2 linked regions of the Kluyveromyces lactis genome follow. The protein of the gene in region 2 interacts with the protein of the main gene of each other region in a pairwise test. Links are inferred from orthologs where the notes say so. Each region holds a gene or a part of one and is shown on either strand. Other genes may lie near its edges.

Evidence for each region.
Region 1: the proteins of VPS53 (region 2) and ARL1 interact in binary tests that used the Saccharomyces cerevisiae proteins (3 or more experiments, as listed by UniProt). The link is inferred for Kluyveromyces lactis from reciprocal best matches to the Saccharomyces cerevisiae genes VPS53 and ARL1.

What each region holds. Positions count from the first base shown.
Region 1 is NC_006041.1:2,192,301-2,196,730, reverse strand, and holds ARL1 (Arf family GTPase ARL1), read right to left. Parts: upstream 2,178-4,430; coding exon 1,626-2,177; downstream 1-1,625. Other genes in the region: KLLA0_E24795g (ABC1 kinase family protein), read right to left, coding at 1-756; UBS1 (Ubs1p), read left to right, coding at 3,071-3,802; TYR1 (prephenate dehydrogenase (NADP(+))), read right to left, coding at 4,035-4,430. UniProt on the Saccharomyces cerevisiae protein: Recruits golgins such as IMH1 to the Golgi. Can bind and hydrolyze GTP. May be involved in trafficking events within the endosomal system.
Region 2 is NC_006040.1:792,539-799,073, reverse strand, and holds VPS53 (Vps53p), read right to left. Parts: upstream 4,050-6,535; coding exon 1,638-4,049; downstream 1-1,637. Other genes in the region: spindle checkpoint protein MAD2, read left to right, coding at 30-620; KLLA0_D09416g (uncharacterized protein), read right to left, coding at 738-1,331; chaperonin-containing T-complex subunit CCT8, read left to right, coding at 4,978-6,535. UniProt on the Saccharomyces cerevisiae protein: Involved in retrograde transport from early and late endosomes to late Golgi by linking the vesicle through the t-SNARE TGL1 to the Golgi, leading to the membrane fusion between late Golgi and endosomal vesicles.

The DNA.
Region 1 (4,430 bases), on a different chromosome or scaffold from region 2:
CATCATTAATTCAGTTAACTTTCCTATGTAGACCTGGGCGATGGCACCACATCCAACAGGTTTTTCGTTAAATTCATCAAATATATCATCGAACTCATATTTCCTATCTAAGGAATTAACAATGGCTTCTTTTGTAAATTTCAACGCATGAGGTTTAGCATTGCTGTGTAGGCGCCCCAACTCTGCGCATAAACCCTCGGAGAAAATATCAGTACGGGATCCTGCCCATTGACCTAATTTTATGAATGTAGGACCAGCGAATTCTAAAGCCTTTCTTAGAAGTTTAAACCACAAAAGGGAACCTGATGTCTCCTTCACAACTCTATTCGAATCAACCTTTAGCGTTTTATGATGTCCAAGGCATGTAATTGGATATATTATTAACAACGGAATGAATATGGATGAAAGTTCTAGAAATCGAAGCAATGTTAAAACCGGTTCTATAATAACATCATTGATGCGATACAAAATCCTCTTAAAAAAACTGGGCATAACACTAGTAGTTATAATTCTTTCACGCTCTTTTTCGGCTTCTTCCTGTAATTGCTTCTGTGAAGAAATGTATAAGCCCATCTCGAAAGTATCCCCTTTTTTATCGGGTATTAGCGCCGTTGAATTGTTCAATAACGGTCCTCTAAACCATTGCATCGAAAGTGGGACTATAGGCGACAGAAGAAACGGTGTAATTCTTAAACCTTTGAGGAAAAACACCCTGGAGTTCACTCTAGAGCGGAACGCATTAAAGTAAAACCTCATTGGACTAAGTTTTACACCCACCTATGAACTGGACAGTCTCAAAATTAAAGATAATCTGAAAATGACAAATCGGAGTTTATACTGAAAAGACCAATTGACAAAACCTCAAACCTAAGTGTACCAATTCATATACTTATAACATGAATGATAAACAGGCCTGAGTTATTTGCCTCCCTTGACCTTTTTATAAGTTGTCATCGTTTTAATAACACACACTTTTTTTTCAATTCACGATCTTTATAACGGTTACTTTTTTTTTTGCTATATGCCTGTAGTTATTACTATAGCAAATAATAATCAAAAAGAGGTACCGCTTTTGGTATTTGTTTCCAGTATATGATATTCGTCGAGGGGGTAATGTACACCTGTAATATATAACAAAGAGATTTACCTTTTTACGTTGAGCGAAGTAATACATCATATACTGAATGATATGGTGGTAGTTGGCAAGACCATGTTCCATTTAAAGGATTCGTGGTTGCATGGTATAATGACTGCTTAATTATGCGAATTATGAATATGCTATATATATAATGAAACTAGGGCACGATGGAATGGTTTGAATAGGAGAAAACATTATATCACGCATACGCAAACGTAAACGAAATAGTGGAGGATTTTGGAGATGAAATAAAAATGCATGGGAAAATTGAATGTCTATTGAAATAAGCGTGTAAAGGAATTCAATAGGACATTACGCCAGCATCGGCAGGAAGTAAACAATTCGAATTTTAACTTTGTTATTAGCTTTGTCATTTATTTTTATTACTATCTTAGGTCATGTCAAATTAAAAAAGCATTTCAGTTGTAGATAAATATAATGGGACCGGAAGCACTAAAAAACATGCAGTTTTCAATTCCTTCTACAATTACATTTGTTCTTCCTTAATCACGTCAATTAACCAATCCAAACCTTCAGTTATCCCTTCGCCCTTAATGGCACTGGATGCAACAATACTCCAGCTTCTATCCTTCAATTCTGCCAAGTTCAACTCCTTTGATACTTCTGACGCACTTAATGCGCCTGGTTGATCTTGTTTATTGGCAAATACGAGCAGAGCGGAGTCCTGCAATTCTTCTTCTTGCAACATGAGGTGCAATTCCTTCGAAGCTATATTCATACGGTCCTTATCTGTAGAGTCAACAACGAAGATAACTGCTGCTGTGTTTGCGTAATAACAACGCCAGTATGGTCTAATCGAAGTTTGTCCACCTAGATCCCACACGTTAAGTTTCAAGTTTTTATAATTTAACGTCTCTACATTGAAACCAATGGTAGGTTTTGTAGTTATCACTTCTCCTATCTGTAGTCTGTACAATATCGTCGTCTTACCAGCACCATCAAGCCCTAATATCAATATACGTAATTCTTTTTCCGCACCCAATAGTCTATCAAACATAGAACTAAAGAAGTTACCCATTGTGATATTTTATAAGTAATTGCTGTACTGCGGTCAATTCAAAGGTAGTTGGTAATTAAAGAAAAGGTGTATTAATAAGTCAATTAATAATTTAAAACCAAAACTTTTGTACTAGTTGATATGTAAAATTAGGAAGTACTTGTTCAAAATATTTCTTATTTGAGAACCAGTTACAGCCAAAATTCGAAACAAATAAACGAATAAACAGCGATCCAGACAGCGGTAAGTTTGTCTCCTGATGTGTAAACAATTTTATTGTATTCGTACTATAAGATCAGATAATGTCTTTGTAATGAGTGAAATATTAAATACAATGAAATCATAACTCCTAACCAATGCAGTGTGTTATTAATCACTCGATCCTGAGATTTTCCTTTCACTAAAATTGTAGTTGGCCTTTTAGTGGCCGGGTAACAACAAACAAAGAGACCCCATTAGACATAGTAAAAATTACTTGCGTATATAGTCTGTATCGTTCACATTGTCCTCGCTGTATTTTTTTGTTCAATCTCAATTTTTTATATATGCGAGTTTGTAACTGCAGAGAGCTCACATGAGGCATACCGGTACTGATTAATGCTCTGAATTTTCTTTCTTCTTCTATCTGTATAAACATATTCTACAATATATGAAGAATTTGTAGATCAAAAATGATAATCAGAGAAAAATAATAATAGAATATATTAATCTGATTTGTAAAAATACAAAACAGTAAGACTGCATACCTTTGCATGCAAAGCTAAGGGTAACGTGATTATTATTGGATATCTTAACTACTATATTGCCAACTAAGTGTGGTAATATATCATTATTGGAAAGGCTTTTCCATTGCCTATAATTGTTATTCTTCACTACTTTTTTTTCTTTCAAATAGCAGGCCACATCCACATAAGATGCATCCGTTGTACAGGAAACTCCTTAGGGAATGGAAACGTTTGAGCCATTATAAGCACTCTACATGCCATATCAAGCCACAAGAATCAAATTTGCAGTTCTGGAATATAGTACTACATGACGAAAGCCGAGATTTGGAACTTTACTGTGTTGTTTTCATAAGCCACAAGCCTATGAACGAATGGGAGCCTATCATACTATTAAACTGTTTGACACCTAATCCCTGCATACCTGTGAATAAGACTATCTGCTTGAATCATCTCTCTCCTGTTCTTCTGAACTATGGGTTGTGCTCCTTTTATGAGCATTTGTTATCATCAATTTATAGTCGCTGTACTAATATCACCGATTATCATAAAAAATTGGCCATGGCTTGGAACAGAATTATGGTAAAGGAGTTCAAGAATTTCTCCCCGCGACTATTCGAGTCTTACTCGGTGACTCAAACAGACGTTCAGATGGTAAACGAATATTTGCAAACGCAGGCTCAGTCACAACCTAATCATACAAAAAGAAACTCCCCGAAATTGCATAGTAAAAGCCCAACCCCGGTAGATACCCATAACCACATAACAAACGAAGACTGTTCGGAACAGTTATACAGGGGAAAGAGGCAAAGAACCGGGTTGAGCTCTTTTATGAGTGTGAGTCCACTCACAGAACCGAATCTCAACAACTTGGAAACCTCTGAAGATTGTGACTTTTTAGAAAGTAGAAAACGCAGGCGATAAAATAAAACTTTCTCTGAAACTATTAAGTTAGTCACCTTTCCATCCAATGAAGCTATTTTCATCATCCTTCTAATTTAATGCATGGCGTCTATATAGTTTATGGCACATTATGTGAGGATTTATCTTCCGATCGTATCGAAGTTTTAGCAATAAATTTCTCTCACAGTACTTATGTATATCATTGTATATCATATATATACATATATAACATAATCTATCAAGCGTAAACATATCATAAATTTTTACTTTTTGAATGCTCAAGAATAGTCTTAATCATTTCGTTGCCAATAGCATTTGCTTCTGGAAACATTGGAGTGAAAAATTGTTGTACCTCTTCAAATTGTCTCTTATAGAGTTCGAAGTTACCAAAAGAGACGATATTAGACCACGACCTTGCAGCTATGACGAATTCCATATCATCCGCTCTGAACTCTGGTACGTTAATCGCAGCATCGATAGTCTGTTCTAGTAAACCATCTGTTAGGAATAAGTATTCGCTAACCCCCAAGAAAATTCTGAATAAAGGAGTACTGCAGATCATATGATCGTAGGGATCAATTCCCAATTGGTACCAACTATCGACAATTGCTAATAGAGATAAATGAGAGTTTGGTATCACTTCGTTATC
Region 2 (6,535 bases):
AGAAGAGACTGGAAAGTAAAATTGGAAACATGGATTTGATATCATTAAAAGGTTCGACACGAATTGTTACTGAGTTCTTTGAATATAGTATAAATTCAATATTATATCAACGAGCAGTATACCCGGCAGAAGACTTCGCTACAGTTAAGAAGTATGATTTGAGCTTATTAAAAACACAAGATACAGAACTTAAACAATACATACGGGAAATTCTCCGGCAGGTTCATAGGTGGTTATTGGGAGGTAAATGTCACCAGCTTGTTCTGTGTATAGTAGATAAGGATGATGGTGAAACAATTGAAAGATGGAAGTTTAACGTAGATTCTCACAGCAACAAGAACGATACTGATGATGATATGAACATTCCATTAGAGGAAACCCAAAAGGAGATTCGGGCAGTACTTAGACAGATAACAGCCAGTGTCACTTTCTTGCCCGAATTGAAAAATGAAGGTAACTATACTTTCAATGTTTTGGCCTATACTGATAGTAATGCGAATGTTCCACTAGAATGGACAGATTCTGATTCAAAAGAAATAGCGAAGGGGGAATCTGTGCAATTCAAGTCTTTCGGTACATCGGCCTATTCAGTGGGAGCTGAAGTCACTTATAAGTTCTAACAAAATTAATGGCTGAACTTATTGCATTTCCTTTTAATACTTATGCTACAAATAGGAACAAGATATAGTAGAAAAGGCACATAATACTTAATTCAACTCGAGAAAGCTCATACTAATTCAATCATCTTGGTGTCTTTTCCAAACTTCTATCCAAATCTTGAGATGTTCAATTAGCTTTTGTCTTAAGAGTCCTTCGCATTCTTCCTGCATAAATGGGAAAAGGTTGGACAATAAGCACGTTTTGAACAACTTTAATTTTGACACGGCTGCCATATCAACCCTCAACTCTTCTTTAACTCTAAGAAGAGCAGTAAAATCGAGTTTAATGTTGTCTGACTCTGCTGCTATTTGGATTATATCCTGAATTATTGCTATTTCATTTGCTAGATTTACGGTGTATCCATTATCCAATTTGACTGAGAGATATGTCAGCCTATCATAAAGCGGTTCGGCCACAAACTCAGGTATATCAAGTTCTTTTACTATTTGAAACTCTTTGCGCTCTTCAGCTAATTCATCAAAAATATCGTAAACTTGTTTTGGGTCAAACGTATCATTCAAATCGGTTCTGATCAATTCCACAGGAAACATCAGAGCAAAATGTGATTCACCAACAACATCTATAAACATATCAATTTCCTTAAACTCAGCATCTGTAAGCGTGCTTTCAGCTATAGTGAAAAAAATCATTATGTAGAAGAATGGAATCATTGCATGAGGATACCAGGTCTGATTTCAAAATAAAGTCGATAGCCGAACCAACTTGTGCGGCACATTTTGTCATATAATCAGATATATTGTAAGTGCTCAGGTTAACTGATATATCTTAATATTCATAAGTAAATAATATCTTCGAGTTTTCTGTGTCATTTTGACTTGACGCATTGACATGCCTCGAAAATGTTAAAAAAAGCCTATTTAAACTGATAAATCTGCTACAGAGGTAAAGGTAGTATTACAAGTAGTGTTGCTGTTTCGTTGGTCAAACTGCGTGTGGAAGCTTCTCTACAGAAGCAGTTAGCCCTTCTTGAAAAAAAAACTGGAGTTTGACATAAGGTTTTTTATCTCATTCAATTTATGTCCAGGAATCTTAGGGGATGGAGACCCAGTGGGTGGACTAGGGGAGGACTGTATAGCTACGGATAAATCAGGACGTGGAACAGGTTTAATCTTGAGGTCTTCCTCCAAAAATGTTTTCCATGATGGATCTGATACCCTCGATAGATTGTAAATAAAGTTTTGTAGTTCTCTAGGGTTGAAAATAAGGTCATCTGGTTTCATCGGTTGAGTATCATCATCTGATTGTTGAAATTCTGACCATACTCTTTTCCAAAGTGCCAAATCCCAAGGTACACCTTTTAGCGCTAGTATAAATGCCCAGAAATTTGAGTTTGTATTCTGACTTGCGGTTATTGCATAATAGGTTTCCAAGTATGTTGTATCAGGGTCAATAGGAGAGACAAGTAACTTTAAAAGATGCATTAGTTTTTCCACATTACTATCTATGTGTTTCGTGACTCTTTTAGCTGATGTGTCATGTTGCGGTAAACTTTCCGGAAGTGAATGCAACGTTGTCTTCAATAGTTGAACGTCTAACAATAATTGTTCTGCGATATTTATCACTTGCTTCACATCGAACTGTCTTTTCGAATTAAGAGTGCCATATGGTAAAGCTGGTTTCAAGAGCTTTATAATTTGAGATTCAAAAGAGATAGCTATTAAATCAATAGTTTTATCAATAAAATTCCAACCATAAAGATCTCTATTGAATTGAGAAACAGTGGAGTAAAATGTTGAATTTTCCGATCTTGTTGGTAGGAGGATACTCTGTAAGGTAGTCACATATCTGCTGTAATCTTCCACCATTGTATTAGCCCAATTTGTGTTTGTGAACTCCCTCCATACAAATTCCAAATCTTTCTTCAGGATGCGATTTAGTAGTAAATTGATACCACCCGATACGAGATCCATGTATTTTTGCCTTGTAGGTTCAAAAATGGCTGCAACTTTGTTGATATTTGGCTCATCATTCTCAAGATATTCACAGAGTTTATCTTGCAATTGATCAATTGTATTTGCGCAATAGTCTGCTGTATTGACAAGAAGAACGGTATATTTCACTACTTCATTCTTATCATCGATTTGTGTATCCTCAGGTAACAACAATGGTTTCAAAATCTTTTCATAATATTCATTCAACCATTTGACGAAGAAAACCGCCAATTCCACCATTATGGTCGATTTATTACCGCCTTCTATCAAGCTGAAAGTTTGAGAAAGAATGTGTCTATAAGTTCTAAACAAGTCTGCACTGGATGGAACGACAAGCGATTCATTTTTAGCTGGGAGCTTGGTCTCATTAAGATATGTCAACATCTTGGCGTTCAAAGATGAATCTTGGTGTCTAACCCATAATTTCAAATATGGCTCAAAGCAAGTGGATATTTTACCCTCGTATATATGGGAAAACTTCACTGATATGTATTTTTCAAACTCTAAGGTAGTTTGTAACGATTGCATGAATAGGTCAATGGAGGTGGTACCGGACAAATCTCTCTTCAATAATGTTTTCAAATCGTTAGACGTCATTGTGAAGAAAGAATCCGTTAGTTTCAAAGGTATCTCCCATTCTGATGGGAAATATTCGCTGAAAGTAGACTGGAAATTATTTAATACTTTTTTGAAGAAGATGTAACGTCTAGACAAATTCTCCAAAGAACCAGCTTCATCATCAATTTGGAAGATTTCTTTAATTTCATACAATAGAGAATCCAAACACAATTGCACAATCCTTTCTTTATAATGCTTATTAGTGTCCGCAAGGCAACATATACCGTCTTTCATCGTTTTGCTGTCATATTTACTGTTAGACCCATCCCTAAGCACTTCTTTCGTTACTCTCTCACACACCAATAGTGTATCACTCTCTAAACGATGAATTTGATTTAGAAACTTACAAAACTCATCCAAAGATTTATATTCGTGGAAAGATACAGATAAGGAATGCATAACTTTAAAGGGGCCGCACATTTCAATGTATTTTTCAGCTTGCATGTACTTTTTAGAGTTCACGTATGCATCACTCAAGATCTTCAAATTTTCAAAGCACGTCATCGATCTCGTTATATTCCTCTTAGCGTTATCCAAATCTGAAATATCATGTGTCAAGTCGGATATGGTTGCTTCAGTAATCTGTGACAGAGACTTCGTTGAATTTATCTTCTCAAACAACTTGTGGAAATCATAATTGTCTTCTAAACTATTGACTTCTGAACTGGTGTTATTGCTTTCTCGTACCCGCTCCTCTAAATTAAATTTACATTTTTCGGTTAATAGCACTAGGTTATCAATATCTGATAAAGATTCCTGCTTCGAGAATATCTGTTGAAGATCGTGTAAGGGATCGTATTCCAAAGATTCTGAAATCATTACTTGTTAAGTTCTAGTTATTCAATTCAAATTAATGTGCGTGATACTAATACAGGAAACAATAATGGGGAGGAGCTGGATAGAGAAGGGAGAATTATACCTCTGCAACTTACAATTGCTGGCTCTTTTTGTCATTTACTGATGATACAACAAAGGTTCTTGTTATATTTGTTTCTGTATGCAATAATTACTATGAAAGTCTGATATCAGAAATATCGAAAAAAAATACAAAGTCTTTAAAAGGTGAATTGACAGTTCCAAACCCTTTAACTATGAAAAAAATAATGCTCCAGGGGAGGTTCGAACTCTCGACCTTCAGATTATGAGACTGACGCTCTTCCGACTGAGCTACTGAAGCAATTCCTTTGAGTAGCTTCATTGACACTGTACATATACCAGAACGATGTAATCTTCGCACTGCATAATATATTATTGCTCAACGAGTTACAGTGTGTAGCCAACGATGCTGCTCTTACAAACATATGTTTTGCATATGGCAGAACAACAGAGTAAGTGCCTTCCTGAGCTATATATTGAAATGGTTTGATTTGCCAGGATCAGCGAAGTTTTAAGATACATAACTCTATTCTGCTATGATTATTCCTAGGATGTTGACGTGGATGCATCCATCACCCAGCTACATACCTATTCTTTAGAGTAAGATGATAGTACTTTCAGATCTCCAGAAACACACATGTACACATGCCTTATTCAGACACTTTGTCCCTAGTAACTATTGGCTAAAGCATTCCCATATTTTCTGCATATCTCTCAATACTGAAAAAAAAAAATGCTAAAGTATCTTTTAACAACATAGTTGAAATATAGAAAACAGTGCGTGAACAAAGGTGGCGAAGACGAAACTTGTACGTGGAAAAGCTATACCTTGGAAGGAAAGCAGATAATTCACAAATCCTTGAAAAGCAGCATGTCTTTGAAACTTCCTCAAAATCCTAATGCGGGATTGTTCAAGCAAGGGTACAATTCGTACTCTAATGCTGATGGTCAAATCAATAAATCGATCGCTGCCATTAGAGAGATTCACCAGATGTGTTTAACTTCTATGGGGCCATGCGGCAGAAACAAGATCATCATTAATCATTTGGGAAAGCACATTGTGACCAACGATGCTGCTACCATGCTAAGGGAATTAGAGATTGTCCATCCTGCTGTTAAAGTGTTGGTGATGGCATCTGAACAACAAAAAATTGATATGGGTGATGGTACTAACCTTGTTATGGTGTTGGCTGGTGAGCTTTTGAATGTTAGTGAAAAGCTTATTGCGCTAGGTCTTTCACCTGTAGAAATTATTCAAGGTTACACAATGGCAAAGAATTTTACTTTGGCAGAACTTGACAAGATGTCTGTGTTGGATATCAAGAACAAACATGAAAAAAGTGAGTTAATCAAGGTCATCAAGCCAGTCATTGCATCCAAGCAATATGGTTCTGAAGATATTTTAAGTTCCTTAGTATCAGACGCTGTGGCACATGTCTTGCTACCAAATTCCAACTATTTCAATGTCGACTCAATTAGAGTGGTAAAGATTATGGGTGGTTCCCTTACCAACTCATCTGTTATCAAGGGTTTAGTCTTCAACCGCGAACCAGAAGGACATTTGAAGTCCTTGCCTCAAGGTGAAAAGCATAAGGTTGCTGTGTTTACATGTCCAATTGATATCTCAAACACCGAAACCAAGGGTACTGTGCTTTTACATAATGCTCAGGAGATGTTAGATTTCACTAAAGGTGAAGAACAACAACTGGACCAAATGATGAAAGAAATTGCCGAGACTGGTGTTAGATGTGTTGTTGCTGGTGCCGGTGTTGGTGAGCTTGCTTTACATTATTTGAACAGATACAATATTCTCGTCCTAAAGGTGCCAAGTAAATTCGAACTTAGAAGAATTTGCCGTGTGTGTGGTGCTACACCAATGCCAAGGCTAGGTGCCCCAACTCCAGAAGAAATTGGTATTGTTGAGACCGTAAAGACGAAAGAAATTGGTGGTGATAGAGTTACCATTTTCAAACAAGAGGAGAACGAAAACACTAGGACTGCCACAATCATCTTAAGAGGTGCTACGCAAAATAACTTGGACGATATCGAACGTGCCATTGATGACGGTGTCAATGCAATTAAGGGTTTAATGAAACAGGATGGTGGAAAACTTGTTCCAGGTGCCGGTGCTACTGAAATAGAGTTGGTATCAAGAATCAGCAACTATGGTGAAAAGACGCCAGGTCTAATGCAACTTGCCATCAAACAGTTTGCCGTTGCATTCGAAGTGGTACCAAGAACGTTGGCAGAAACTGCAGGTCTAAACGTTAATGAAGTACTACCAAACTTATATGCTGCCCACTCTCAAAAAACTGCGTCAAACGAAATCAACGATGGTTTGTACCAAGGTATTGATATAGACAACAATACCCCGGAATGCATCAAAGATATCAGAGATGAAGGCATTTATGATTTACTAGCTGCTAAGA